2 linked regions of the Lytechinus pictus genome follow. The protein of the gene in region 1 purifies or fractionates together with the protein of each later gene. This does not show direct contact. Links are inferred from orthologs where the notes say so. Each region holds a gene or a part of one and is shown on either strand. Other genes may lie near its edges. The genes, in order: contactin-2-like and neurexin-4-like.

Region 1 (16,802 bases):
TGTCATAACAATTAAAATGTGATTGAAAACATAGAAAGTCATTGTACACCTGCAACATAATACCTTACTCATTTAGGCCTACACTATTTTATTTCTTAAAAATGAAAATATGAATTAATTGAATATAAATTAATTAATTCATATTCACAGTTTACATGTTCATGTTACAATATATATCATTCCAATATGGATGAATGAATTCTAATGTACGTATTGAAATAAACCAATAAATCAAAATGGAGTGAAGACCATCTTCTTGCGTCATACAATTCATTAATCCAACTTTTCGCATTCATTTTATCAAATTCAGATCCTTTGTTTTCCACGTTGAAGAGTGTATTGTGCTGTATGATGTTGTTCAGCATCTGCAACCAAATACATTTACCTTATCTCCCCCCCCCCCCATGTCTCTTCACGTAGGCATCATTAATCTTTGGTGGCGCACTGACATACACCCTCACATAACTTAAACATGGATGTTATGATATGATGGTTATACCACTGTAGTATACCATCTCCTGATGATAGCACTCTCTGATGTAAACAAACATAATGAAAGTGGTTATTGTTACACTTCCAGGGGACTGTCCTGTATGTGGGGGAGAACTTTTTAGTGGAGTGGTGCTCAATCTTGTTCAATTTAAATGTCTCCGGAAAGCTAAGATGTAATTCTAAATCCATGTCTTAAACTGGCAACTCTAGGATATTTTTAGACCAAATTTATTTGTCTTTACTTTGTTTGAGATTGTTTTTGTATCTTCATTAAATACATTTTGGATTATATCATTTTGAACTAAAACAAAATAGTGTTGATGCTTACATTATACATTGATTATGTGTGGTTATGTGGTTTTTGCTGCATTTTTTTATAGTCAGATTCATGACTTTCTCGCACATTTTCAATGGTATAGATATATTTTCAATATCAAACCCATTCAAAATTATATTTTTGATAGAAAATATGCCCCCAATAACTTGTATTGTGGTACATGTAAATATATCAAAAACTTCAAGTGTTCTCTCTGTCCGCTTCATGTATAGTGACTGTTGGACAAGTCATGTTTTATAGGGTGTTTTTTTTTATTCCTTTCATTACACTAGTAAGGTGTCTTGATAATTAGAGTGTACCCACCTCTCATGCTGGTGTGATATTTAAAGGGTTTCTTCTGTTTTACCCTCACGCCGCCCCACAAATCTTAGTATAATAGATCTCCAATCTGTTTATAATTGGCCTCCTTTTCTATTTTTATCAACGGTAAGTGTGCCTCATACAAACTCTCAAATTAGCATTCTCAAATGCCCAATGGCAATTTTAACCCCCAAAATAGGTAAAACCACAGTGTCAAAGCATAGACCTTACTGGGTGTTTTGTAAAGTTCTCCTGTATTTACATCAAGAGACAAAATGATTCCTTCTTTTTCATTATATTGTTTCAGCTTTAGGTGTTTTCTGCACTACTCCAAATACCTCACTTCATATTATTTCAATTTTGTTTTCAAATTATATTTGGAGGGTGTAGTAACTAGACCATTTATTTTTACGAGTGAATGACTTTCCCTTTTCTTTTCCCAATGCCATCAACTTACAAACATGAATATGACGTCTGACATGCCAGATCAGGGAGCCGTTTCATAAAGATGTTCGTAAGTTAAGAGCGACTTTAAGAACGACTGGTGAACCTTTCTTACGCGCTTAACCATCGCCAATGAATATACCATTTTCCACAAGAAAGGATCACCAGTCGTTCTTAAAGTCGCTCTTAACTTAGGAACAGCTTTATGAAACACCCATCTGAATGGTTAATTGCATGTATATGCATCTTTCTGTTAGGCAATTATTTCAATTGATGGTTGTTTGGTGTATTGCAAACATCCTCTGGCATCCTAATTGATGGTCTTCTCTATTAATGGCAAGAAGGTAATTTCCTCTACATGGCAATACAAAGCTAGCGTCCTTTTGGTTCCAAACGGCCAACCTTATCCCTCTCCCCCATGACTCACATAGGTCCATAGAATGCAGCGTTTCAAGACCTATTCATCATGGACACATTTCAATTAACTCAACGCGACGCGGACCTTCTTTTGCCTAGTATTGTAACCTCCAAAACAAATTAGTGTGATACAATTAGACGTCATTCTCGGCTAAACAGGATCCCTATCGAAATGTGATATATGAAATGTGACAGGCTCCTTATCCAATAGTTAACTACCAACAATCTCTATATCTTCTGTATATTTTTTATTTATTTATATTGGTTTTATATATTTTATACTGCAGGGTAGGCCTGTTCAGTTATGCAAAACTGCTTTCCAAACGCGCCCTGCAGTTTAACATATAACTCAACATCATAGCAATTCAATGTATGTAACATATAATTATAAAGTAAAAACAGAATACATTATATACAAATAGAGTGAAATCAACAATTACTCATGGAATCATTACAATTACAGTATTAAAATAAATATTTTTGCATCATTGAAAGTATAGCCTTCATATTATATATAAATGTGTTTGTAAGAGAATGCCCATAGCTCTACATGATTTCTCATGGCATTAGAGGATTTAGAGAGTTAATGTGTGATGCAATTCATAAATATTTGGTGCTTATAGGGTTTTTTTAATCATGAAAATTAGTAAAGATAAATTGTCATAACCTCCAGCCATATAAGTGTACATTAGATATCTTAGTTATTTGAAACGTGACAGTGTTTTATTTGACCGAAATGTTATTGGATGTTTATGCTTTGAATTTAAGTAACTAGAGGACCTAGAGCTTTCTGTTATTTCCGAGGGACTTGGCAATAATGATTGTTGTCTTACAATAGTGCACACGCATAATGACTTTGATCACACTTGGGTCAGTAAGTTATGAAAACACTGCTCTTACAACTTTGCTGCCATGCAGCAGTAAGTCAAGCAGTAGATAAGTTATAAAAATACACTTTTTAAAGTAGAATGTGACTTGAATTGTAAAATAATTTTTTTTCTTCTAAATACTATATATTTTTTCTTTCAAAACACAAGATCTACCCATTCGATTGGTTATCTTTTATGATCCTTGACAGCAAACAATCCAAACATTACTCAAATATTATTCAAAAAAAGTATAATATGACCATATGGTGCAGTGATGGAGTTTTTTTCTAAGAAAGCTCCCATAATGAAATGAATTCCCAAAATACAAAACCAGTCATTCTGAATTCTAATGAGCTTTTTAATGAATTACGCACCACACTCGCACTCATCATCGAGTAATTAAAATTAGTCATAGAGACACGTGTGTAGCCCACCTTGCTTTCTCCTGTACTGATTGGCTTGTATGACAATAGCTTCACACTGACCATTGTGACCAGTGGCTAACTAGCCAGACCATTAAGGTCATCTGTTTACTCACAGTCTTAGTCATCACAAACAAGTATGATATATCCCTTTGTTATTTTCATCTTCATTCTCACTCAATTATCCAGTTCTGATGAATTGATTGTTATCTTTCTATCCCTCATTCAATTCTCTTCTCCACTGTCAGCCAGAACACTCTTTTTTTAACCCTATGCGTGCTGATGTTGCAAATCTAACAATCCCCTACCTTCAAATAAGATAAGCTAATAAAAGGCAATATTTCTTGGATAACATCTATATAATAATAATAAGTATCAATGGTGCAATATGGAAATCTTGAATTAAAGAAAATAACATGGAACAATTGTCATTATTATCCCCCAAATATTAATTCAGCATGCAAAGAGTTAATTTTGTTTTATTTTATTTCTCAATTTTCAAGATAAATATGCAGCATAACATATACAAAGGTAGTACATTCAATTTTTACAAAACAATAATACAATGGACAATATATAAGCAATGAAAAATAAATATTAACAAGATGCATCATTAACTTGAAAGAAAATATCATAGTGTAAAAGAATGCAGGAGACGGCCATCGCTGCTTAAGATTGCAATTATACCTCAACTGAATTTTTATGTGGAACGTATGATCTTTATATATCCCTGCTTTTTAGTTTGAGTTTTCCACATGTATATTTTTCATGAATAGATTGCTGTAGCCATTACCTTTTATCTCAGTTATTTTGACAATTCATCTAGATAGTTTCCACCACTTTGCATAATAATTATGAAATAATTATATTACAAGTTCAAGTCATTTATTTCCAATTAAAAATTTTGATTTTTGATTTTTATGTTAATTTTATTTTAATTTAACAAATTTTGCCATCAATTTGTTTTTAATTCTTAATGCAATAAACCTTACCATTTTGTTGTTTTCTGTTTAATCATGAAATTGCCTCACCATCATATACTCCATTAATTTTCATCTAATATTCCCTGGTTTGGTGCCATGCATGTTTTATTTAACCATCATCCCTTGGAAAAAGATCTATGTACTCTGTGTGTATCGATGGGGAGCTTTCGAGAGCTTTTAGGGTAATTAACATTACAATCACTCAAGACTGTCCCGGTTTATTGGGTAGCTACACAGGGTTGAGTGCTTCTATTTTAGAACTGACATTTTGATAACTATCAGGTCTTGAACAAGAGGTATTATCGGATCCCTCGTTTTGTTTTTTCTTTCTTTTTTAAAGTTAAGCCACACAAATTTCTCTTCTAATACTATGTCTTTATATTAGTGCATGTCTGTTAAGTGCTGTTTTTGTAATCATGATGAATCTTAAATTCTGTGATCATTGATAATTTATATTTTTAAGATTTCAAAAAATATGAGCATGGCCATTGTTGGGAAGATGGGTGGGGTTGTGTTATAGAGTTTGTGAAAATTATTTTCAAACCTCCCTGGATTCCTGATTCATAAGCTGTGATCGATGTGTAACCCTTGCCTATGTTCTCTATCTATATTTTAATTATCTATTCAATCTAGTTACATGCATAGCTCCATCATCATGCCTAATATTTGATATGCAAAGCAAACACAAAGCACCACAATATCCAATAACAAATGTTTGCAATGAGAAAGTCTACAGATCGAAGCATCGGAATGCTTCCAGTCACTTGAGGAAAACGTGAAATATATTACTTCACATTCTCTGGCATTTTTCAAGCATACCTAGACTGTAGTCTAGCTTGTGTTGAAGTAAGAAATGGAAATAATTTTTCAAGATGTAGAAAGGAAAGGAAAGTGGAAGTTGGAATTTTCTAAAGAACGAGGCTCAGTATGGTCATGGAGCTATTATAGCTCCATGGTATGGTATAGTGTTTGCTGTAAAGTTAGGTCCTGGTGACTCCTGACTTATTGATTCATCTCCGGGCGCAGTGTGCACAGCGGGATCATAAAAATGGCCTCATGTATTAGCTAAGACAACACTGAGCTGTCTCTCAAGATCTCTTAGAGTGTACTAATGGATCTATGCAGGATGCCCTTTGAAAATGAAGACATATAAAATATCAAGTTTGATCAATGGCCAGTTGGGAATTGATGACACAGTTTTCATTTGTATTTTCTTGTCTGTGGAAGGAATTTCTCGAGGATGTCGCCAAACATTGCAGTTCACATTCACGATGCTGTGTAGGGATTTTGCCATCTCTCAGAAAATGATTATTTCACTAGTTTTACGATGTTAATTTCCCGGTTGGTACATACACAGGGGCCGCAGAACGGTCTTCAAAGTGGGGGGGGGGGGGGGCTGAGCCAAAAGTGGGGGGCTGACCATGCGAAAAATCACAATCATATGGTCATTTTCACGTTTTTGTGCACGGTTTTGGAAAAAAGTGGGCCCCCCCCCCCCTCTTCCACGGCTCCTGATACATTTAAGTTTATTAGGCTCATGTTAGATGTTAGATCATCATGAGAAGAAGCACTGGTGGATCCAGGGGGGCACAGCCGGCCCATGCCCCCCCCCCCCCCCTTTGAGAAGCAAAATCAAAATGTGTAATGTAAAATACCATTAAAACAGAAGTGTGCCCCCCCCCCCTTTGAAAGTGAGGACCTTTTTTTTTTTTGCTTGTCAAATTTTTTCGGGGACGAAATATCATTAATTTTTGGTTAAAAACTTTTTTTTCCTTGTCAAACTTTTCCTAGGAAAAATGTCCCCCCCTTTTGGAAAATCCTAGGTCAGCCCCTGAGAAGAAGCGTTGGGTATACATTGTCATTCTGATTCATTGTTAGTATGAGCATACACTGGATATTCAAAGTGTACGCAAGTGTCCTGTAATCAAATATGTCAGTATGTTTCTTGTTCAACAACATTATTCTACATACGTCTGTGTTAGTCCCAACCAAGACATTTTGGTAATAGTATTACTGTACAGTATAAGGGACTTCGGATATTATCCTTTGTCGGCTGGAACTGCTTTCGTGCCAGAGCCGTGTTTTGCTATTTATAGAGGATTTATCTGTTCTGTTTGGGATGGATATACAGTGAAATGAATCTCGGAAAGCTGATAGTCCCACACAGGCTATGTAGTGGGGTACTTGGTCATGAAGACGCTATGTGATCGATGATTCCGTCCCCCTTGGTATGTAACGCCATACCCCTTCCAAATTCAGGGATATACAATGGAATGGATGGGCTCGAACATGAAGGGGATTTTCTTACCACTTTATCTCAAGAATTCTCATTATTTCTTCACTAGTGAAATGTATATCAAGAAAGGAAGCTTGAATTGAGTTAAAGCCATGCTGATAAATTAACCATTGTTCGGTTCACTGGGGGAAACAAGCCATTTGTTATATGATATGGGATATTTAACAAAGAAGAGCAATGGATGGATTGTACAATGGAAAGTTTCTGCAAATCAAAACATTGTTTTCCACTTTTGCAATACCATGAAAAGCGACACTTTTGTGAATATGGTATTTCAGGGAAGAATATGATGCAAATTGCATGCCATAGATTATCATATAAGGTAGATAGAAAGTTGTTGTATGTAACATACCCATGTAAGTAAGGTATAATATTGTAAAAAATCAGAATGAGACTATGATAAACAAGGGATTTTTGTTGTTAATTACAGAGAGTAGAAAAATATTTATTAGATTTTCTGCTTTGGAGATTGTAGGCTTAAGACGGAAATGCCAAACCTAACCACATGGCAGTATATGCCATTGCTCTATGAATAACAATGAAGGCATACTCATTAATGCTTTATCATCAGTCAAGTCATGTACCAAAGCCCAAAGAAGAAAACCAAACCATGTATTGATTTCCACATTCATCAAGTTTTTATTCATACTAGGCACGTTTTAGGGATTTATGCGTTAAATGACTATATGATGGATCACTGAAGTTCCTATTGACTGTTGATTAAGGAAACCACTCTTCCATTTTTAGTAATAGTATTTGGGTAAAAGTATGCAGCGCTTATTTCTGTTGGTAGGATGGGGATGAGAAAAATGCAAGTGAAGATTTTAGTGATCTATGACTTTGTTCAGTCATTAGAATTGGTTATTCTGCTTTCATAGTTGGGCAACTTCTGATTTTCATTTTCATTTCACCAAATGTATGGACCGACTCATGAATAGTACAGTAGATTTAAAAAATTGTCCAAAATATTTCTCGATGTAATTGTGATGATGCTTCCCTGTGTAACATATAGCTGTAGGACATCAGTATGATCAGAATTTATAATTGTCATAGTTACTTTTAATCACCAGCATTCCACATTGTGTGGAACATTATAGCAAAACATTTTTTTTTTCAAATAATGATACACCATGATACACTTTGCTGTTCAGTGTCATCTTGAGTAGATGTGAATATTTACTTTATACCAATACACCATTGTATACACCTGCAGTTACACTCTGGTGTTCAGTCTCATCTTCAGTAGATGTGAATATTTACTTTTTTTCAATACACGATTGTACACCTGTACATGTAGATACACTTTGGGGAGCATTTCATGGAAGGACTTATCAGACGTTTTATCTGACAAGTACTGTTTAATACGACAGTTACTATGGTAACAGTGCCTCTCAGCCAATCATTATCACGGAAAGCTGTCAGAACTGACAACTTTTTAGACGAAAATGTTGATGAAACCCTCCCCTGGTGTTCAGTGTTATCTTCAGTAGATGTGAATATTTACTTTATAACAATACACCATTGTATACACCTGCAGTAACACTCTGGTGTTCAGTCTCATCTTCAGTAGATGTGAATATTTACTTTATAACAATACACCATTGTATACACCTGCAGTTACACTCTGGTGTTCAGTGTCATCTTCAGTAGATGTGAATATTTACTTTATAACAATACACCATTGTATACACCTGCAGTGACACTCTGGTGTTCAGTCTCATCTTCAGTAGATGTGAATATTTACTTTATAAATTTACACCATTGTATACACCTGCAGTCTCACAATGGTGTTCAGTGTCATCTTGGGTAGATGTGAATATCTATCATCAGGGGCGGTGGTTGTTAAGCAGTAACATAATTGCTGAATTTCACTCACATAAACAAGTACTTGAGGCGAAATGGCAATATTGCTTGTCCGTATTCCAGTTGAAATGATTGTAATACCCCCCCCCCCCCCAAAAAAAAAAATGCATTTTAGGTTCAACAATCATATATATAACCTTGGTTTTAAAGCTGAGCTTGGGTCATTCGATAGAGTGGTCTGCAATTATGCAGTCAGTTCATTGAAAAACATCTTTTGTAAAAATGATTTATGTGCATATCCCAAACCATATTTTTAGATTTCATCATATGTGATCACATGTTAGAATTTACACAAAGGTGTTGTAAGCAAATTATAAATGGCTGTATGGCTGATCTTGTATATTTCAGTAAATTTGCTGTCAATTGCAGATTATCATATTAAAGATAAAATGGAAATGTTATGATGAAAAAAAAAAGCCCTTGTACATTTCTCCGGCAGGAGCTGCTGTTGTATTCATGTCAAGTATCACTTTACACAAAGAGGTGTCATCCAGCCTTTGTCTCTTCCAGCCATGTAATATAACACCATCCAGTCAAGTATATAATGCCCTGTTCCATGCTGTCAACCTGTATCATCTCGTATTACATGTGTCAACCCCAAAAATAGATTAGAATAATTATGAGATGGTGGGCCTTTGTCTAGACCAAGTTAAGACTTCTCATCTTCGCTATCATCCTCATTGTGTCATTTCAAGGCAGATCATTTTGTAATTAGTTAGGTACTTTGCAGAGTAATATTGTCTGTCTGAGGAGAAATGATGGTTTGGTGGTATCTGATGTCGGTTGTTTATCTGATCTTTACTTGTGAAAGGATGTATAGTAAAAATAAACATTTTAATGTATTGTTTTTAAAGATTCTTCCATTACATGGGATAAAGAAACAGCAATCGTCTGTATAACAGTAGAAGTAAGGCAGGTAATTTCTGTTTTTTCTGGGGCTACATTTTGACCTCACCAGGACAATACTACATTTACGATCGACCCCATGGGAATTTTAGGTGCTCTTTTTTTCTAGTTTTCTGGGACTTTTGGGGGGGCATTTTAGAGGTGAATTCACCCATGCTCTGTATTGCCATCCTGTGGTTCCTCCCTATATTGGACCATGCATTTATATATCAGAGCAAAATGCATCTTAACAATCAATCATATTCTCTTCAGACCAGTGCCATGGCAGCCAGCAATCGCTCTTGGTTGTGATCTACTAGGCTTTTCCTTGATCCCTGTAATACCTCTCAGTCTTGGGTGGCTAAATGAGGTTCTAAAGTGTCCAGCATATTCCTCCGTTTAAAAAAAAAACCTTTGTCGGTTAGTAATTATTGTCCAGCAATTTCAAAGGGTTGCTCTGAATTTTTTTAATGAAACTTGCATGCCTTACAACATATTTAATTAATTCTATTGACAAAATTGGTTCATTTCAAATTGAAGATTAAGATTAATCAGTAGTATGTTTTGAAGGGTTCTGCAATAAAAAACTGAAAATTTTATTGTCAGTCATTATCAATTGTTTCCATGATTATGGTACCGAAGTATGACATCGCAAAAGTTGTAAGTGCTATTGATTTTGTTCATAAATTTCTAAAAGTCGAAGAATTAACACAAATTCGAATTATTGTTCTACATGTAGTTCAAAGCTTGTTTTTATTTTGTTTCATATCCTCATGGTTCCTGCAGATTACTATAAATGTACGAGTACTAAAAGGCTCTATTATGCTTGCCGATACCTTCAGTATCTTTAAATATATATTTTAGATTCTTCACTATGCATATATTTTTAATATGACTTCTCTTTTTTCATCCCCTTTCCTCTATCTACAGAGTAAAGTAACGTTCATCCAATACACAGCGTAAGAGGTGAAGATGTTTTACAAGATAATTTTGAGTTGTGCTGCCCTCTTTGGTGCTGCTGTACAAGCAAGTGAGTAATGGCTTTATAAGTGTCGAGCAGAAGGAAACAAACCCAATGAATTAAATCTCTAAAATACGTAGTATTTGCATTATTATTATCATTTATACTCTTGTTGAAACATAACTGGTATTTCTTGAGTAAGCGGAATTTGATAGTGAAATCAGGAACTTTATTAAGGAAATGAGATCGCCATAAAAATGATTTGTAGGTATGACTAGTCATAGGAATACATCAGTTCTAAGCAAATTTGGTGGAATTGGGGGGTCGACATCTCGCGCAGGCAAAGGCAGCGCACCGTGCTAGTGTACTGAAATGTGACTGTGATGCTTAAAAAATGAAAACCATATGGCAAAAGCAGAGGAAGTACTCACCAAAAACAGTCTATGCAGCAAATTTCTCTCTCAGCTCCTGGACCCTGATAAACAGCATAATTTCATGTAAGCCGGCCAAGTCGCTTCAGCCAGCGCAGCATAATCGCATGAGGCCTTGCGAATTTCTGTCTGTCCACTGCAACCGGTAGCTGGCGCACCAAATCTTCTGCCAAATTTCCCCAAAAGATAAATTTAATGGCCTGTATTCTGAAGTCAGGTTTAACTTAATTAGACCATGGTCTAACTCTGTGCTAAAATTATGGGAAGCCAAAAGTGTCAACATTCTTATTAAGTTTTATGTTTCTTATGTTTACTGTGCTCTTTCCTGATTCATCGATGGTGAAGACAATCATCTATTTATACTTCCTAGACAATTACGAATGGTTTGAGAGCCAAATGAGCTGAAATGTGATATCTCTACCGTTAGTGATTTATGTCACAATCGGCTTATCCATACTTGAACCACAACTTTAAACCTCAGTTTAAGTTAAACCCGACTTCAGAATATGGGCCAATATGTTCATGATCAGGGCTCAAGGCCACATATTGGCGGTCTTGGTCTTTGCCTTGGCCACAGGCGGAGTCATGTGCACAAAGGAGAAGGTTATCTCCAGTGGCTTCGTGACTTAGAAGCACCAGCCTGTTAAATATAGTATGACTGCTATCAGGCTGAGCTTTGGATTCCCTCCTTGTTTTGACCCTATCCATGATGATTGTTTAGAAACTTTAATTTGTATATAATATTTTTTCTAATATAACTATTTACAATGTCATGCATGTTTATTTGTTGATACAAATGCTATTGATTTACAGGGTTGAACAGCATCTTCAAACAATTTTTACTTTTTTTTTCGTTCTGTAAGAAACTGGCCCAATCCTTGTAGAGCAGCCACAGGAGACCATCTTCGATACAGCATCCAACCTGAACACGGTATCCCTCAACTGTCGGGCCACCGGTGATGAACCCATCACGTACACGTGGACCAAGGACGGTGCCGCCCTCTCGCAGGCAGGAAACCAGAGGCTGATCATCACACCGGGACAGCTGACCATCACCAACCCGGACAGAACCACGGACGGAGGGGAGTACGTGTGCCTGGCTGAGAATCACGTGGGGATCGTCAGAAGCTTGCCAGCTGAGCTCGTATTTGCCTGTAAGTGGTGCAGGAATTCGGTTCAGGGCCCAGTCTTACAAAGAGTTACAATTGATCCAATCAACCACAAATATGGAAAGCCATCAACATCTAAAACACATGTTTGTTCAAAATATTTTCTAGATATGATGTATATTCATACGTTCACTGTTTTCTTGACAGTTCAGTATGCTTCTCTTTGTTTTCGAAGGACATTGTGCAAATTACCTAGAGAAAAAATTATGACATTGATGGATTTCCATATACTTGAGGTGGATAGGATCAATCGTAACTCTTTGTAAAACGGGGCCCCATTTCTATTTCTTCAAGACTTGCAAAACTTTTTTACTTAGCCCATCACGGTCCCAATGTACCTGCATTTCTGCTTTAGCCGACATCTGTTTCTGCCTCATGTTCAATTTCCATTTTTGACCACACCCCCCCCCCCCCCCCCCCCATCCACAAGTTAACCCCTCATCTGTTTCCTCGGGACTTCCTCTTTACATCAGTGAAACACGACATGGGGGAGGGTTAATGAACAGCAGTAGTATAAAGCTCAGTTACTGAACATTGTGTTTGTGAAATATGTTATCTATGCACATGTACAGACCATAACAAAATCTCTGCTTTTCTTTCAGACGTTGATCAGTTTCAACCAGACGCTTCACTATCTACGACGCTAAATGCCGGAGAGGGAGGCTGTATAAGCTGTAACCCACCCCCACATTATCCAGGTCAGTTTCAATACATGATCAGTTAACCATATACTATATCAGAACCTCTCTACTTCTACTTCAAACATCTTTATTCTCTTCCTTTTCCTTTTGTTATTGCCATTGGGAGTAGTTTTTCTCTTAACACCCCCCCCCCCTCTCTCTCTCTCTCTCTCTCCTCTCTCTCGCTCTTGTGCTCACTTTTTCTCCCTTATTTTCTTTATTTTGTATCTTCATCTCCTCTCAATTCTCTCTCTTTGAAAGAAAGTTTCTCTTTCTTTCTATGTAATCTCTTTCTTTCCTCTCTATTTCTGCCTCCTCTCATTTTCTGTCTTTCTATTTCTCTTTCACTCTATCTCTATTCGTATCCTCTTTTTTTATACCCCTCCCCATATTTCTTTATTTTTATATGATTATCCAGTTTCTACCCACCAACTCATTGTTATATACTGTATTTTCTTTATAAAGCTGACATTTCAATTAAAAAAAGTGTCATGAATTCAATACTAAGTAAATTTTTCAGCGCATTTAAAATATCTCATATCGTGATACATAATGTATATATAACTTTGTCTTTTCAGCTTATACAGAAATCCCCTAAATTTTATACTAAGAAATACATAGTAATTTCCTTAATCTGCAATATACAAAAATTGCCAATTATACAGCTTTTTGTTGTGGCCCTGCAGTGTGAAATGAAGCAGTTAATTTCATTGCAAAATTGTGATGAATTGCAAATGCAGTGTAATAAATCTATACATGCTGGTGAAAAAAACAATGCGTAAAGGTCTTTATTCTTTTCTCAATTTTGAAAATTGCATTTTTATTTTGCTTGTTTCAAGGATCCAATGAATTGCAATTCACCAACAGCAAAAAAAAAAAAAATGAGGACTTGCTAATACATGTTTGATAAACTAAGTGAATATCATTGTCCAACATGTTATGAGCATCAACTTAGCAAGAGCTGATTCTCATATTGATGTGAATAATACATCATTTGAAATATGTTTGTGCACTTTTTATCCACCACAGGCTCAATATGATAATTCACATCACAAATTTTTAAAAAGAATTCTTTGTTTTATTTCTTTATGAATCATTTTGTTTTTATTTCATTATGTAATCGTCATGGGGCGCCCTCTCTTTTTTTCTTCGGATCTTCATCGACATTGTCAAATGTTGCCGCGAGCAGACGGTTTGTATCCATCATGATCATCGTCTATAGTGTATTTCCCATGATGCAATTTGTAGCACATGACTAGTGGACTAACCATACAGTTTGATAGTTAGTGTTAGACTTTGTTTGTTTACCTTTCAGCTTTGTCACTTTAATACTTCACTTCTATTTAATCTTCAGAGGACAGACCAGCTGATAAATGTATTCAGGAAAAAAAAATGTCAACGATGGTTTGCGTTCATGCTTTCTATAATGAGTTGAAAGCAACCTAAATTGTAATGCATCTAAAGCTGCTCAAACAATCACAATAATGACATATTTTTCATATCTTGGGAAGGGTATTGAATATCGAGAACCACAATGAACTATAGCAAGTCAGGGTTCTCGCAGTCGTTGAAAATCCTGGAAAAATTTTTGGTAATAAAAAGTCAGGGAAAAGTCAGGGAATTTGGAAAATTTGTGAAAATTCATGGAATTGCATTTACCTCTTGGCTATGGCAGCTTTCCAGTTTGTCTCGCAACTCTCATACTCTGTGATCATACTCTGCTATTATAATTGGTGTTCATGATTTCCATTTTTCCCAGTTTTGTGACATCCCAAATTCTACATAACTCCCGGGAAGTCATGGAAAGCAGCAATTCAGTCATGGAATTCTGTTTTCAAATTTCTGTGGGAACCCTGCTAGTTAAACTTGAAGGATTGTGTGTGGTTTCGTAATCAATTTTTTTTTTAATCCCAAGGTTGTCATAAATCAATTAAAATTCAATCAGTTTGCGACCTTGAAGAGAAAACATTTTTTGACAAATGAGGAATATACCCTTGTGGAATGCATTACTTCCAAACCACACGATTTATTCTACAGGTTGTGGTATCAGTTTTGAATTCCCGTTAAATGACATTTTGATATTTCTGAACACGTTTATCAGCTTGTGTGATGCAAGTGACACTGTCGATAAGTCCCTCTTGCTGTTATGTGAGATTCATCATAAAGATGTTAGATATCTTCAGGTCTTTCCTGCTTGTTCGTCAATTATCCATCTAATCTTTATCCATTCCATCTTAGTTTGGAGTTCAACATTCATATTTTCACTATATATAGTTAACAGTGTGATCATTATCAGGAAATTCATGTGGAAAGTAGTTTCGCTATGTAGGTAACAGAGTGGTCAGTATTTGCGAATCTTCTGTCAAGGTATCAAGCACTTGTACTTTGTAAGATCTGTATAATAGTAAATGCCCGTGTCTGCTGCCTTGGGTATCAAACTGACGAAAATTGATTTTAATATTAAATCACAAAATTTAACAACTTGCGTGCAAGTGCGTCAAAAGAGGCACTCAAGTGAAAACAACCTGACACTCTGAGTTGTCCATGAATATAATTTTACTGCTGAGCATATGGAAGTCAATTTTATATTTTCATCTTCATTATGAGACCAGAATTGTAGAGAATTGCATAGAGTCCAAATTGTAGCTCAGAAAACCCATGCATTATGTAAGGTCAATGCCTAAATCAAAATACCTTTGTGAGATGTAAACAACTTGTATCATGTGGCTTAAATCAAATTAGCAAACATCCATCCACAGTGGTAGAAATGCAAGTCTGTGGCAGTGTTTTTTTTTTGTTTTTGTTTTTTTGAAGTAAATGGTTATTTCCTCTCATCAAAATTATTTTGTGAATATTCGTGTAGCCAAAGCCAGTTAGTATTCAATAAATGTGAGGTCCATTTCTGATCTATGTGTCATGTTGACATGCGACCTGCATTTTGCCAGATTCATTGATAATTATACCGCATTTCTATTATATACGACGAGGCATGCATTGCATATTGCATAATCATCCTGTACTCCTTCAAGTGCATGATGACAATGGCACAAACATATATATACCTGTATATACTTCACCATATATTTACCTCAATATGAATGCCCCATTTTGAGTCAGAATCATCTCCATTATTTTTGTTTGAGGTTGCATAGAATACTCACTGAGCAAACTAAATGGTGTTACAACAAGTCATGTAACAGTGTTTATTAATATACAAATATCGCTATGACATCAGAAATCATTCCATTGTCATTCCATATGCCGAAGGAATTGGCAGTACCATTGAAATCATCAACCCCCAAACACTCATGAATATTCATTTTCATAAATATGCTAAAATCTGGAGCCATTCCATCTTTATATTCTGTTCAAGGTAACCATCGAATGTATATTTCTGCATTGTGTGAAAGTATTAACATATATGTGACATCCTTCGTGTCTCTATACATATCACCCTATGTTATTATAATGATTACAAGGTGTGTGTCATAAATTGCTTTTAATTACACATGAAATTTAAATCTGTAGAAGAAACATAATTTTTTTCCATCTCGGGCTTGAAGATGAGGTATGATGTGGGTAAATTGTTTTCCATCACTGAACCTTTGTTTTTTCAAATTTTTCTCAGTCAATAAGAACTACTTATTAGAACTTTCCAACATTTTTTTTCTTGAACCCCTGTACTTGAGTGAATTGTAAATTACTGATGAATTATTACATGCAGCTTATTGAATCAAGAGCTTAGTACTCAACTTTGTGTTGAAACAATGTGGATTTATCAGTAATTACTAAATTACCTCAAATTTAGAAGATCTTTAGAACTAAGGGAGGAAAAAACCTGTAACGACGAACGGCTGACAGTAACATTAAGCTTTATCCTACCATTGTAGACTTAAGTATTAGAAATACATTTGTTGTAGTACTGTTCTATCATGACTGAAATTTGTTCCCATCACAGTGTTTACAATCATCCACCGCATCCATATAATATCATCAAGTAATTTAGATTGCTTTTCATAAAAATATGTTCCATGTGAAGAACCCATGCTGTATGATTTAGATGTAAATTTGAAATAGTAGGGTAACTGTTTTCACCAGTTGTTGGCTACCAGTGTGCTTCAAATGTGAGTTTGAAAGGAAAACACTGCTTCCCCCAAAGATGTAGTATACATTTAGATCATTGTTACATTTTACTGAGAAGCAATAATGTCTTTTCAAGTTGTAAAATCATAATAGGTGAATTCCCTCTGTAA
Region 2 (17,145 bases), about 34 Mb from region 1:
TCAATAACTTTATTATATGTTATCCGATTTTGATGAAATTTTCGGCATTTTGCTCAGTGAATACTACTCTATGTATTAAAATATAAATATTTTCAGCCCGGACCATCCCTTTAACAAGCCACTCTTTGATTATAGTTTTTCTGATTTAGATGGATGTCAGTCATTATGGTTTAACAGATTGATTCATTCCAAATCAAACAATACCTTTATTATGGTGCATGGTATGATAAAAATGTTCACACAATATCAGATTTGCTTAATCCACCCCTCCCTGGCCATAAATTGTTTCAAGAACTAATCTTGGATTTTAATATACCCCATTCTGACAGAAGAAATTTTAATTTTCTAATCCAGAATATCCCTAAAGACTGGCTTATTCCCTATCTTCGAAATACTGATGTCCATAACAGTGATGATGTTCATCATGTTAATTCTCAAATTAATAGGTATTTAAAAATTTCCCAGCTATGCTTATCTTGAGTGGCAAATCTAGCCCTGACGCACGTTATGAATATCTTACCTATTCCTGACAATATTTCATGGGAGAAAATACATTGCAATAACTTCAAATGTCCGAAAGACACTAAAATTTGTTCTTTTTATTTCAAAGTTTTCACAAATGCACTGCTTTTAATGATTTTCTTTTCAAGATTAAAAGGAAAGATTCCCCTTTGTGTGAATTTTGCAACAAATTCCCTGAAACATCATATATTTTGTGATTGTGAAAAGGTTTTACCCCTGTGGCAAGATTAATACAGAAGTTTAATTCCAATTTTACTTTATCTAATTTCAGAAAAATGTTTGGTGATCCGAATGATATAAGTTCATATCCTACTTATTTTTTATTACTGAAGTACTTCATTTTCATTTGTAAATTCAGCAAAGTTGATCCAAACTTTGGAGCATTTAGATCTTTTAAGAAGCAAAATGAAATTGAGTATTGTGTGACCAAAAAAGAAACAAACTCGCAGCTCATTTTAAGAAATGGAAAGTTCGAATTATAATTTTTGTCATCTGCACAGTATCATTGTATGTATGGTATCCTGTTAACTGTGTATGACCATACTTTTTTTTTTCCTGTTTTTCATAAAATAACATCAAAGTTGTGTTAAATATCACGTCTGTGTCACTGCATAAAACTTTCCGATTTTTTTGTTTTTGTTTTTTATATTATCTATATATTTTTGTTTTTTGTAATGATTACTTATAAATAGTTTATGTTTCATTTGTTATTTTTGTTTATACTTGGTCTGTGTTGACCCAATAAAACATAAAACAAAACAAGTGGAATGCCTCTGGCCGTCTCACCTGCACCACGCGATTCAATATAGCAGCAGTGCTGATTTTGAAAACTACTATAACTCGCACAAGATGTTCAGTGATACTTGGTTACTCGTATTTCCACGTTTTATGAATTAGACCAATACACTTATAGAGATACGATGGCAATTCAACAAATACCCCCAACGTGGCCAAAGTTCTTTGACCTTACATGACCTTTGACCTTGATCATGTGACCTGAAACTCGCACAGGATGTTCAGTGATACTTGATTACTCTTATGTCCAAGTTTTATGAACTAGACCAACACACTTTCAAATTTATGGCTGTAATTCAACAAATACCCCAATTTGGCCAAAGTTCATTGACCCTAAATGACCTTTGACCTTGATCATGTGACCTGAAACTTGCACAGGATGTTCAGTAATACTTGATTACTATTATGTCCAAGTTTCATGAATCAGATCCATAAACTTTCAGTTATGATGGTAATTCAACAGATACCCCCAATTCGGCCAAAGTTCATTGACCCTAAATGACCTTTGACCTTGGTCATGTGTCGTGAAACTCATGCAGGATGTTCAGTGATACTTGATTAACCTTATGTATACGTTTCATGAACTAGGTCCATATATTTTCTAATTTATGATGACATTTCAAAAACTTAACCTTAGGTTAAGATTTTGATGTTGATTCCCCAACATGGTCTAAGTTCATTGACCCTAAATGACCTTTGACCTCGGTCATGTGACATGAAACTCAGGCAGGATGTTCAGTAATACTTGATTAACCTTATGGCCAAGTTTCATGAACTAGGTCCATATACTTTCTAAGTTATGCTGTCATTTCAAAAACTTAACCTCAGGTTAAGATTTGGTGTTGACGCCGCCGCCGCCGTCGGAAAAGCGGCGCCTATAGTCTCACTCTGCTATGCAGGTGAGACAAAAACCTTTAATTTTCACTAAACTACAAAGACAAAACACTAAAATATTCAGCTTGAATGTTTATTTGCTTACACGTACATGTAGCATGAATTATAGACTCTACAAGAAAAAAACTTTGACAGCAAACAAAATCAAGACCAAATCCAGACATTATTTTTTTCCTGATCAACGTGACATTCTTTCATCTCTTCATCAGTCTACAAATATTTGACCAGCCTGCATCACCAAATAATGTTTGTTCAAATTTCATACCACTGAACATTCTAAAATAGGACAAAAAAGTTCAAAAGTGCCACTATGTTATCAGCTGTGCTTACACAGTGAAATCAGACTCAGGGTAAACTGCCTTACATACATGTACATACACATGGACACGAAAAGCCAGTCTTCAGCAAAAACTCCTTGGTACAATTATTTTCAAGATGAAACAGCACTTAGGCTGAAACAGAATCTTCACCCTTCTTTCATTATGTACATAAACATGTACGTGTACAAGCATGAATAATTGAATATGACTTGTGTGGGGAAAATATTTTCATGATACCTGCACTGTTTATGACACGGGGGGGGGGGGGGGGGGGGGAGAAGGGAAGATCGCAGCACAATTGAATGGTTGGTATCTGAGTCTGAGCTCTGCACCTTCACGTACATGTACATGTAGCCAAAACATGTAAGGAATAGGAAATTTAGTCAAAAAAGCGGTCTCTAGAGCTTCACAAACGCGACTAAATCAAGTACACTTACAGTATGTTACATACTATTACTGAATGGCTACACTGACTTGCTTTCGCACTGAGTGAAGTCATCAAAAAATAACCCAATAATCTAGTAATCACCAAATAAAGAAGTATAATGAAAATGTAATGACAGCTCGCAGTGCAACTGCAAGAAAACTTGCTTTGAATTGAAGGAGAGCCATCTGAACTATTCAGAAAAGCAATATCGTACCGTTAGAATACTCAACCATCATTAACCTTCAGTAAGACGAGGCTTTTACTGCTGTATTAGCTCGCCAACCAAAGAGGAAGAATGCTATTCATTAGACCAACCCCCCTAAAATACAGAAAGATGTTCTGAAAAGATTTCCCCCATTATTCAACACTGTAAAAGGCATACATGTTGGCCTAAATATATATATGTAAACATGAATACATGTAAATTTAGTTCATTTTCATACAGTACACTACATGTACATGCATTATATAATACAAAATGCATTTATGTAACTGTTGAAGGCTTTTTCATTATATTGGTAGATCTTATTTTTCTTACTTTTTCAGTGTCTCTCTCTGTCTACACAACCTTAACACTTTTCTTGTCATTGGTCTACTTTTCTTATTAAAAACAAATCTGATGCCGCCAGGGTATAACTACTGACAGACTACTGTACCCTTATAATTTTTTTACCAACTATGTTAACTAACAGAACATGTATAAATGCACTTGCATTTTGCAATTGTATTATACATAATTTATTAATGTTTTGAAAGTAGACCTAATCAATTCAGAACAAATTTCAAGTCTTTAATAGGCAATTTACTGTACATACAGATATATCATACATGCACATCTATTTTGCTGATGCAATAATTAAAACAGACTTACATGTATAAGACAAACTACAATCGTTTAGGTTTTTAAATCAAAACCTTATATTGTCTAAGGAATATAAATTAAGAACTAATTTATAATGTAAAACCATCATGTACACGTACATGTATACATGTAGTACCAGGGCCAGGGGATTACTTCCCTGATTGTACAGCATGGAGTATTTCACATATAGTGCAAAACTTCATCCATACATGCCAACATCAATCAATGTTGGAAATTTCTTTTTAGAGAAGAGCCAAACCCTCCTTTAATTAGCAGACATCTAGCTTGTTAGAGCATCCCCTAACATTAATCTTAGAAGGTGTATTCAGACTGCCTCGATCTTTAGAATACCATTTAATGACAAGAACTTGTTCAGGCTTGAGAATACCTAACAAGTGGAACGCCTCTGGCAGTCTCGCCTGCATTACGCAATTTAATATAGCAGCAGTGCTAACTTTGAAAACTACTATAAAATAATCATTCACAAAAACATCATTCATATAATGACATAATACCACGTTCATTGACCATAAATGACATTTGAACGGAGACTTAAGACTGTCAACTACACCCATGTCCACATTTCATTCACTCTATCCATAAACTTTCAAAGTTATGATAGCACTTCAACAATTACCCCAACATGGCCTAAGTTTATTGACCTTAACTGACCTTTGACTTGGTTTTGTGACCTGAAACTCACAGGGGATGTTCAGTGATGCTTGATTACTCTTATATCCCAAGTTTTATGAACAAGATCCATAAACTTTCAGAATTAGGATGGTAATTCAACAAATACCCCCAACGCGGCCAAAGTTCATTAACCTTTAATGACCTTTGACCATGGTCATGTGACCTGAAACTCGCACAGGATATTCAGTGGTACTTGATTAACCTAATGTCCAAGTTTCATGAACTAAATCCATAAATTTTCAAAGTTGTGATGGTAATTCAACAAATACCCCCAACTTGGCCAAAGTTCATTGACCCTAAATGACCTTTGACTTTGGTCATGTGACCTGAAACTCAGGCAGGATGTTCACTAATACTTGATTAACCTTATGTCCAAGTTTCATGGACTAGATCCATAAATTTTCAAAGTTATGATAGTAATTCAACAAATACCCCCAACTTGACCAAAGTTCATTGACCCTAAATGACCTTTGACCTTGGTCACGTGACCTGAAACTCGAGCAGGATGTTCACTAATACTTTATTAACCTCATGCCCAAGTTTCATGAACTAGGTCCATATACTTTCTAAGTTATGATGTCATTTCAAAAACTAAACCTTCGGTTAAGATTTTGAAAATAATTTTCCCAACATGGTCTAAGTTCATTGACCCTAAATGACCTTTGACCTTGGTCATGTGACCTGAAACTCAGGCAGGATGTTCAGTAATACTTGATTAACCTTATGTTTAAGTTTCATGAACTAGGTCCATATACTTTCTAAGTTATGATGTCATTTCAAAAACTTAACCTTAGGTTAAGATTTGATGTTGACGCCGCCGCCGCCGTCGGAAAAGCGGCGCCTATAGTCTCGCTCTAATATGCAGGCGAGACAAAAATTACTTTTCACATTCATACCGACCCAAGGCAGACCCTTACAATCAGTATGGCCTGATAAGCAGATATATTAAGGTGTGGGATTCAAAATCACCAGCTCAGCAGCAACTCACGGCACCGGCACCCAACTACTAGCTAGGTTGAGAAAGTTGCCATAATTTGCTTTAGCATTGCCAAACTACCCAGGACCTACGAAAAATCTGTGTGAAAATTCTCTTAATTTCGGCAAATTCCTACCATTTAGCAGGTATACTTAATTCACAGTGTACACTGCCAAAATTACCTGGTATTTTCTGATCAGGGTAGATCAGGGCGAATTTCCCAAATACTTGTACTTGGAACTGACAAACCTTGAGGCGGTCTGAAAAGTCCCTGGCCTCGTCTGAATATGCCTTTAGTGTTGGTGTCGATGTTATCAAAGTATCAAGAGAATGAATAAGTACTAGAAGAAACTATTTCAAGCCCCATCAATAATAACAGAAACTTCTTTTCCCAACTTCATTGGGTAGAGTCAGGTGAGGGTTTTTTTAGAACCCTTTCTGTTAAGATGCTCCTACTGAAGAATTGTCCAGATCATTCTTTAATTAAATTTTGATAAATTTGTACTGGTTTCACTACACACAAACATGTAAACAATAACAATAAACAAATCATTTATAAAAAGAGCCATCCATCTAGTAAACTATAAAAAAAATAAGACAAACGTGTAAAAGTACAGAACTGTAGAGATAACTTTTAACTTTTCACCAGGAAATAATGTACAATTTAAACATGTAGGTCTTTTTTGTAGTTGGTTTCTACTCTCTGTATTCTACAATTCAAAAACCCCTCTTTCATTCTAGGCCTAAATGTATCAAGAGTATGTCCTGCTATACAGTACATAGGCCTACATGTACATGGGGGAAAGCCTTGCAGTTTTACAGTCCATGCCATGTACATGTATACATTTTACAGAGAACCAAAAGACTTCTACCATTTCTATAGAAAGTAAAAATCATTTAATCCCAAATGGCATCCATTAATGCAAACAGTGATGGCTCATTGAAGATCAAACCCATTCAAGAATGCAATTCATCATTTTGCTCAGCCTAAAACATGGCTCAAATTGATATTGATTCAGAAGGTGCCTAGCTTTCTGTCAACAGCAAATCATTTTTTCATATTTTAGGCCAAGTAAAAAAGAAAGTAGTTGATCGTCCAGGTTTTTCGAGAGCAGTGATGAGGGAGGTCCTTACTATTTAAAAAAAAAAAACAAGGAGTCATTTTCTCGGCCTATTTTTTTACATCAGTGATGAGGGAGGTCCTTACTATTTACTATTTTTTTGCTATTTTTTATTCAAATGATTGTCAGGCCATGTCAGGCTCGATTAAGCCAGGTGATCGATGCATGCTCAATATTTATAATAAATGAGTAAAAACATATATATGAATATATAAATAAGTATATAGGCCTATATTCAATTAATTGGAAATCTATGAAAAATGTATATTATGCAATAAAAAAATTATTGATGTATTTATTATACTGATGTATGGATCTACCTGTACTAGTGTATTATTGTAAAACAAAATGCTCATGTCAAGTGAATGATTAAAACATTATTCTACATTATATATGTAAGGGTAAAATATACTTGGGGGAGGGCATTTAGAAAAAAAGAATGAGAGCCATTTTTATTACCTTGGAGCCATGGTTTTCCAGAGCCAATCTCTTTTCAGCTCAGGGCATGGTTTCGGATCGCAGTTTGTCCTGCTTTTTTTTCCATTTAAATAATAATAATTCTCAGACCAATAGTATCATGCGTAGGTTCATTTGCCTATAACCTATCAAAGTACCTGGCGGACATCCTGTCCCCTCTCACTAACTGCTCAGAACACACGGTTTCCAACTCCAGTGAATTCGCTGAATTCACATCGGAGCAGACAGTTAACGAACAGGAATCCATGATCTCTTTTGATGTAGTCTCCCTCTTCACTAACGTACCGATAGAGGGCGCATGCAGTACGGCCCTGCAACGCATGCAATCCGATCCCACATTATCAGAACGTACCACACTTATGCCCGAACAGATAGCCGAACTCCTGGAGTTCGTCCTCAGATCCACATATTTTCTGTACAGAGGCTCTTTCTATGAGCAAAAAGAAGGAGCAGCAATGGGTGGCCCAGTCTCAGCGGTTGTGGCTAACCTATATATGGAAGGTTTTGAACAGAACGCTTTGCCCAAGTGTCCTTCCACATGCCACCCTCGGGTGTGGAAGAGATACGTCGGTTTACTTTCATAATCGTAAACAGATCCGAAACAGACAGCCTACTCTCATACATGAATAGCCAGCAACCGTCCATCCAGTTCACTCTGGAGACTGAGCAAGGAGGGAAATTAGCATTCCTTGACACGCTAGTGACACGCTTGAACGAGGGCGGGAAACTCTCCACCTCTGTCTACCGCAAGCCCACTCATACAGACCAATACATACCATATGATTCTCATCACGACAAATCGGTCAAGAAGGGTCTTGTTAAATGCCTGTTCGACAGAGCAGCACGTATCATAACTCACCCACCTGAACTCCCGAAAGAAAGAGCACACGTACGTGGCGCCTTGTACAGCAACGGCTACCCACGACGTTTTATCAAGAACACTTTCAAGAAAAAACAACCACCAAGGGATCGGAAGGTTTTCAAGACTTGCACAGTCTTGCCATACATAGATGGCCTCTCACAACAACTTAAACGCCGATTAGAAGGTCACGGTATCCGAACGGTTTTCCGCTCGGACACCACCTTACACAAACAGCTTGTACACCCCAAAGACCCTATCCCTGATCACAGACGTGATGGCGTAGTATACAACATTCCTTGCCAGGGATGTGACGGGTCTTACATCGGAGAAACAGCCCGACCGATAGTTGAACGCATTTCTGAACACAAGTTACAGCGAACCGACACATCCGCGGTGGCAGAACATGCTTGGGAGAAGCAACACCACCCAGATTGGGAGGGTGTACATTGCATTGCCAAAGAGAGACATTGGTATACACGCAGGATTAAGGAGGCTATTAGTATACGTCTTTGTCCTAACAACTTCAACAGAGACAGCGGGATCGACATCCCCGACTTCTGGATGCGAACCATCCGACAGCACAATACCCCCTTACCTGGCAGTGCACGCCGACCCGATCGTTCCCGGCCCCGAACGAGGGACCGCTCAGCTAGTCAGCCCCCGCCCACGGGAAACTAGCGAGCCCGCCAATTTTGTCTAATTTGCATATTGCCGACCCACGGCGTATTTGCATATACCCCCGGCTTATTTGCATATACGGATTACCGGCCGCACCGCATACCGACGCAACGGATCAATGCCCACCTATTGTTCTCGCGTTCGTGCGTACGGTCCTGGAGATTAGTATAAATAGAGTACTTTTTCAGATAATTTTCGTCACTTGATAAAGAGTTGCAGCGGCACTCGAAAGCTCGTGAACTTGTAAGCTAGTGAACACTTTTTGCGAGAGTGATCACGAATTTCCTAGAAAGCCAGTGAACACTTTTTGCGAGAGTGATCACGAATTTCCTTGTTGACCATAGTAGATTGCGAGACAAATGAATACCCTCTAGCGATTAATGTTTGATATTGTTTATTCAATCGCTATTCATTTTTTTTTATTGATATCAATTGTTAAAGGATTTTTGAATTAATTGTTAATTATTCACTGAATGTTTATTATTTCAATATTTGTAACTGTAAGATCTATTTACTAACTTAAAATTGTCCATCAATTTGAAAAGCTCAAGGAAGGATGAAGTTTATCAAATTTGAACAGAATTGGTAGCTTTTGGTACTTACCGGAATCCTTTCATAATTTTCAATTGCTAAATAATAAATAGCTCACTTGAAAATAATTTTTGAATATTCAATGCATTGCCGCTGGAGAGCTAACGTTATAAAACTCGCCAGAAAATTATTCATTTCACAAATTCACATGTCTCGCCAGCACAGTCAATCACATCACTGCAGCACACATGCACACCCAACACATGCAGTCACAAGCACAGTCAATCACCGCAACACACACCGCAGTACAGGCACTATCACTCACCAAAAACCCCCAATGAAATACAAATTACGTCATTAAAATTGATTTATCTGTGCCATATTTCCAAAGCATACAACAAATTTAGTCAGATTTAGGAAGCGGGGTCCCCAAAAATGCAATGAAAATGCAATAAAAATGTGATTTTTTCAGAGTTTGCAAACTTTATTTTCTCGCTAATTTATGATTGTATCTTCAAAATTACCAATAAAAAACCAAATCAGAATTTTTTTCTTTATCGCAGTTACGGCGATATCGGACTTTGCAATTGTTTTAGGAAGTTGCGGGAGAGATCCCAGAGCACATGAGAGCAAATCGCTCATCAATCTTGTGTATTATTTTGCTTTTCAGCAGCCATAAAAATAGTAATATATCAAGAAAATTGATGCGGCAATCAAAAAGGGAAGCGGGTGCAGACGAGCAACATCACTTTTTGATATTTCTTTAGCCAATTTTTGAAAATATTAAATAGTAACAAATTTCATGCGGTGGCCAAAATAGATGCACGCGAGGACGATCAACTACTTTCTTTTTTTACTTGGCCTTACAAGTGCTCAAAAGGTTGAAAAGAAAAAGATCTATGCACATCTAAATGTACACATTGTACAAATTTTGAGAGCTAAACATGCAACAAATTGTTAATAGTCAATCTATAGAATAAACCCATTGAAAAACTGCAAAGGACATACATGTACTATGGCTCTTCCATTATAAACAATTTGCTATTAAAATCTATAGATAATTGCCTTCATAAGTTTATACATAATTGATGTCACAACTCATAATTATTATTAGCCTACTCGTAATTAATCATAAGGTTCTGCACCATCTGCTGATTTGAGAATGTTATTACCACAATTACTGACTCTATTGATTTCACCAACAAACCAGAACTAAACCCTATCCAATTAGCAATACTTGTTTACTCAAGCTGTTGATTGGTTTAAGAATAGATGGAAATTAATACATTGTTGTATTTTAATACATTTTATCCTGAAACATTCAACTGCTTTTAAAGGACATACATGTACCAGGGTTCTCCACAACCTGAAATTTAAATGTGTAATTATAAAATACTGAGAAGATGTCACACACACACACACACACATTGAATAGTGCAAGGAATATATACATATTGTGAAAATGTCCATTCATTATTCCTCATTAGAATGAAGATTAAGAAAAACAAAATTGTTTACAGTTTGTAAATCATGTATAAAGAATATTTTACATGACAAAAAAATGAATACACCAACTCGCATTAAAATCATTAAAGAATAAGAAATGGGATTATTCATATATACATCTATGTCATAAATCTTATCAATCATACTGTACAGACTGCTGATCATATTGATGATGAAAATTGAGATGAAATATCTGAATGTTGCTAAAAAAATACTCAACTCTCCTTTCAAGCAACTCAGCCCTTGCACACAATGTACATGTAGCTTATCATTTTCATAACATGTATTCCGGAAGTGATTAATATAAAAAGTGGAAAAACAAAATGAGCTGGGAGCTAGGGGAAGACAAATTGAGGAGTGAAAATTGCCATGTACTCACCATCTCTCTGGTGGAGGCGTGCATAGCGAGGGCTTCGACGATCACTAAAACTGCTTGAGGCTGTAATCATTGAGTCAGATATGGCCCCTGATTCCATTCCAAGAGCTTGGTTGCATGGTTCTCCTGCAATAATTATGAGGGAGAAGACAAGTAACGTTATTATTATCGGATATGCTTTACTTTTCAAAAACAAAACAATAAATACAGAGTTATACAAAAGGGCACAAGAAAATCCAATAATATTTTCATCATTACAAACATGATTATTATCATAGCAAGTGAGCTGTGGAAAGAGTAAATAGTGATATTATTGATAGGGGAAAACACCACATAAATAAAACAAATGTCACAGGATTACACAGATGCACATTACTGAGAATATGAATTCTAATTTCAAAAAAAAAATGTCAAGCTTGAAATTTTGTAGAACATGAAGAAATCAGAACATAAATGAACTAAAAAAATTGCAATAATACAGGCCTACACATGTGCACCAGCTTTAATACACACTTCAATTTATGTAGAACTGCATGTGGCAATATTTCCACATCTGCTTTCAAACAAGCCAATTACAATTGGTTAAACCAACATCATTAGTAAATACAGGCATCACTGAAACAGAAACACATGGTTTCACTTGGCCTCATGATGTCCATACAATCTTATAGCCTGTTCACATGCCAAAAAGCTTTTCAAAAATTTAAAGGGCAAGTCCATCCTAACAAAAATTGAAAAAAAAGGAAAAAAATCAATATGCCTATGGTATTCCAAGCAAATTTTGTTCCACACTGTAATGTAAAAGAAAGTTTGATTCCTCCCTGGACGTGTATATGGAATTGCCATATTGTCATAATTTGATGAAGAGTTTCCTCATTATCAAATGTGCAAAATATGAATGATTGTATTATCATGCAAACAAAATACTAAATAAAGGGTGAGTGAGTGTCATCATCAATTTTCTCATTTCTTTTACAAATCCCTGTGTTGTGCATATCATACTCCTTTGTGAAAAATAAACAAAATTTTGAAATGCCATCAAGTTCTTATTTCACATAAGTTTGGATTTAAATTAAATTTCCAGCATTGCACTTGTTTGATTTATTATTTTTTTTTAATTCAAATCATTTTTTTGTTGGGGTGAACTTGACCAAAAGAAAAAATGTGAAAACTGAAACCTATCAGAGCATAACTACAAATAAAAACATCATACAAAGACCAAACTCTCTATAAATCACGTAGGCCCTAATTTATTACTAAAATTTCTGGTACAGGGTACTTAGTTGTAACCCATGTTTCCCTTTGCATACTGCTTCCAAATAGTAGGCCTACCATCCATTACTGTTGTCAAACTTGTCTTACATTGTAAGTACAGTTCATGATTTGATGCAAGCAGTTTGCACAAATTCACAATTTAAAATGAATTTTGGCCTTAATGATACAGTCACACCAAAAAAAAATGACTTCAGACCAATCAAAGCCATAACATTACTTTAATGGCATACCATTATCGGTTTGAAGGTTCTGTTGGTGCATACACTTTCACATTACACCAGACTGTGTTCAGATCATAGTATAAATATACATGTAGCACATGAAGAGCCTACATGTATACAATTTCAGAGAATCTACAGTATACAAATTATGACTATATCTTTTTCAGTGTGAACAAGGAGAACATCTCCTGGAGACTCACAAAGGGGACATGGCAACCACAGCAGGGGAAGGGCATGGGACTTGCTCAAGTTATTTGAAGGCTTCATTATTAAAATTCTAGATTTATTAGATCCAATAAAAATTAAAAAAGAGGTGGCGAAACAAATGACAAGGGCTAATCCTAACACAACGTCACAGGGCAAGGTTTACAAGTGATTTCACCAAAATGACAAAAAAAATACCTTATTTCCATGGTACATGTAAAAACAAAAATTAACAATATCTGTATTCTTATTGCAAAATAGAAGTCATGACATATGTAGGTCTTTTATAGAATTTATCATAATTATTCATGTTTATTATTAAAAGCATTTTTCAAAATCAAATTTTAATACTAGAGGGAATACATGTACTTTACATGTGCATGAAACGAATGAGCACCTTTTGAAACTCAGTTTTAGTCGAGAACTGCATAAATGTGGACAAGTCTACATTGTAATACCTCACAAAACACCAGTGTAGTAAAAAAATGCCCCTCCATCTCAAAGTATCTCCGTGCAATTAAAGTTCAATAATCAAATTACCCAATACAACCCTTTAAAGCTGGAACAGCACAAGGTTGAGCACATGTTTCTGGAAGGGATTTGGATTTATATGTACAAGTATGTGCACGCATGTATATCTAGAGACAAATGATTCATTGGATGTATTTTTTTTTAATAGTTTTAAAGGCAGAATGAGCATTATGAAACACATAATTACAGATCAAAAACGAAGTTCAATACCAAATTGCTATAAATGTTTCCTGCTTCATATACATGTACATTTAGGCCTTAAATCCTCATTGCAAAAGAGTTAACAAGAACAACGTACATTCTATGTTTTATAAACCATCTTTATCATATTGTGTACTAGTGGAGGCCTACATATTGAAGACTTTTTAAAAGTTACTTGGAATTATCTTCTGCATCATGTATACAAATATTAACATATATAGTCCTATACAGTATATTTTTGGAGGAATGCAAAATTCATCAAATTATGATTGAATTACATAAAATTCAATATACATCATCTGTTCTGACTTCTGATGGTTTGTCGTATCATGGCCAGAATCCAAATGTCTACTTGTAAGTTGTATTAAGTCACTGTCCTCTGCCAGGTTAATTCTCATTTTTTCTTGTTTTCTGTTCTGCAATTTTAAATCCATTGAGTTCATTTGATGTCAAAATACATCTATCCAAGATTATGATGCTTTATTTTACATACAAAGTGATGCGGATCAGAGTATTTTTTTAATATCACCTCGGAAACAGCATGAAATGGATACTTGCTGCAATCTACATACTAGTAGTCTGGTCTGTTAGCGTAAAAAAATATAAGTAGGTTTATAAGAATGAAAGAATCAAATTACAGTCCGGATCATTTTTTGTTAGAAATAACACCCACTGTGTGATCACACTTCTACACCAATATGCAATAAAGGCATCCATGAGTCCATATGAGACTGAAATGCGTTAGACGAAGATGATAGGGTAGCACTGAATAATGCGAGTGACTCCATGAATTATTACTTCTTGCATGCAGCTGGCAAGATCTTGCACTCTAAGGGGTGTCACCTTGGAGTGGATCCTGAGGAGCTCATAACTCCAGGGAGACAGAGTAGATGATGGTGATTTACAAGTTTAATAGCCTGAGTCTTCACTATCTCAAAGGAGGTGATGATCACTTCTGGCAGGAGGCTTCTCCAAACAGATTAAAAATAGAAAATGATGTTTCAATAATTTGCTGGCGAGTGGCAAAATGCATCAAGGATGGGATCGCTCATCACTACATGGGAATGTTCTGGGAGGACAAAGCCACATTCAATCAGAGCACAGACTTTATACCCTACATACAAAATCTTAAAGGGAATACTGTACTTAGCATTTCAATAGGCATACAACTTGAATACATGTAGGCCTACAGTCTGGGCCTGGAGTATGTGAAATTTTATCCACTGAAGGTTATTTCATGAATGGCAATGAATAAGTCCCCAAATGAAGATTTCACAAAGTTCCCACAATGATATGATAATTAAAAAAACAATGTTCCAATGATGAAAATTTTATATTTTCCAGGTCAAATTATGCTTTGAGAATAGGAACAAAAAAGCAGATAGACCTACATTATGATTTATTATTTCATAATTATAAAAGCGCAAGTATTTAATGAATTTGAATCTGATGAGTCCATATCGCTTTCTCTTTTTATTCAGATCAACTTTATGTCATGGTACTGGTACCAACACTGAATCACATAGATCTACAAAGGTTGTAGGGTCTACATGTGTAACATACACTGTATAGGTACAATATGTACATGTAACATAAAAGTAATGTAAGTCAATACTTGTTTACAAGGTGTTTTACAATCTAGGAGGTGTTCATGATTGAGGTTCTGCTAGGAAGAGAAGACAAAATAAAATGATCAATTACTTCATCCAATTAATCAACAAGTAATTGATAAATTTATTGTACATTATTTTCTCAGAGTGTGCAGACCTAACAGGTTCTGCACAAGGTCTCATTCTACATGTAGGGCCTACATCTAATTCCACAGTCAGTGCATTGATATCCAACATGTAGAGGAAGAGCACTGCTGAGGACAACTCATTGTTCTGGTATGCCATAAAGCTGACTGTAAGCTCCCCCATACATGTACAAAATACCTCCACATAATAACACAGGTAATGAAAGGTTTCTCCATTCATACTGCTGCTCTATTGATGCAATGCTCTTGATTCACCCATAATAAAGCAAAGAACCTACAGTACAGGTCTATGTTACAATCACACATCAGACTTCTCCGGTGTGAAAGTGCTGAATAGTGTGTCTTTTCACGGGGCTCACAACTTTTTTGCAAAGGATGCAAATGACAATTTCAAATTGCAAATTCATATAAGTTTTTCTTCAAATCTCCTATGTCCTAAAACAATTCTTGTGCAGTTCATGCAGAGTTCTCACAAAGTTTGTGTGAATGTCACATGAATTGAACCCTGTTAATTTTAATTTTTACAATACTAGTTACACCATATATATATAGGGACAGTGATTTTCCGTTTCAAAAAATTGCCTTTTCCGTTTCAGAAAATCTCAAATTCCGTTTCAGCATGTCAGAAAACGGAAATTCCGTTTCCCCGTAGACTTTGTACACACGGAAAAGTGACAATTCCGTTTACACATTGAATAGCAAAATCACAACACGTACACTCGCACTGGTCAAAATTTGTATCTGCTACTGTACCAACACAATAGAATCCGTTCTTATCGGATCTATGCGGGTGCATAAAATATTTTTACAAACCCATTTAGCATGCATACATCCTCACCTTTCACATTATTAGCATTATTTCATCGATAATTTTGGGGTTTTTTTGGACATCGTTATCATCAGTCAACGGCTTTTGCCAATCCGCCATCTTGGATTTTAAGACCACGATATCGTGCTGTTACATCTTCAAACGTAGAGGGCAGCAACACACGACCGTGTAGTTGAACGATATGTGTGCATGTGAAGCCCAACCCGGCAGGCCAAGTACGGGTGAGGGGTACAATCGAGTGTGCTGATGTCAAGTGCAGTCACGATGTGTGAATTGTCATGATAGTAGCGAAGTGAGATCGTGTTTTCTGGGGTTTTGTGGCCATTTAATATTCTCATTTTGTTGTGATTTTGGAATAATTTCTGTTGCTATTCTGTGTATTTTGAGGGAAAATACGTTTTCCGTGATTTTCCGTTTGAAATGCCACTTTCCGTTTCAAAAGGCCCTTTCCGTGAATTCCGTCCGTTTTCCGCGATCGCGGAAAATCACTGTCCCTATATATATATTTATATATATATATATATTTTTTATATACTTTACTTTTTGGATATATTTATATACATATATATTTATAGATATATATTTACCCTTATATTCACCTCTTAGTTTGTATAATGCTTTATCATATATACTTATATGTCTTTTGCACATTATCAGTTGTTCCCCATTCTTTCCCTTTTTCCCCCCACTCTTATGCACCAGTTTATTATGCCTTTCTTTGTAACCTGTTTGACCCACCTCTCACCAATTCTCTTCTTTTTCATCTCTTCCTTATACCCCCCCCCCCCTATCACTGTTTTGTTCCAGATCCTGTTTGATGTTGCCTGCCCAATTATCTTAATCCCTCATACAGGGGTGTGAGTGGTCACAAATAAAAAGATCTGAAAAAAGCTGAAGAGTGTTGAAAAAGTCTGAAATAGGAAGAGCTCCCATACTTTTTGTACAGAGGAAGGCCAAAAATAAGCTGAAATTAAGCTGAAAATCAAAACAAAAAAATCTGAAATCAGATAAAAATCTTAACTCTCATACCCCTGCTCATAGCTTTAGGTCTTTCACTGGCCTTACTTACACCAACTTCCCTATGTGTC

What was found.
Region 2: the proteins of contactin-2-like (region 1) and neurexin-4-like purify together in Drosophila melanogaster (affinity purification with western blotting; 4 studies listed by BioGRID). This does not show direct contact. The link is inferred for Lytechinus pictus from reciprocal best matches to the Drosophila melanogaster genes Cont and Nrx-IV.

What each region holds. Positions count from the first base shown.
Region 1 is NC_087247.1:8,599,877-8,616,678, forward strand, and holds the start of contactin-2-like, read left to right. Parts: upstream 1-8,806; 5' UTR 8,807-10,280; coding exon 10,281-10,338; intron 10,339-11,563; coding exon 11,564-11,854; intron 11,855-12,471; coding exon 12,472-12,567; intron 12,568-16,802. UniProt on the Drosophila melanogaster protein: Required for organization of septate junctions and paracellular barrier functions.
Region 2 is NC_087247.1:43,053,811-43,070,955, forward strand, and holds the start of neurexin-4-like, read right to left. Parts: upstream 7,335-17,145; coding exon 7,251-7,334; intron 5,781-7,250; coding exon 5,672-5,780; intron 1-5,671. UniProt on the Drosophila melanogaster protein: Seems to play a role in the formation and function of septate junctions.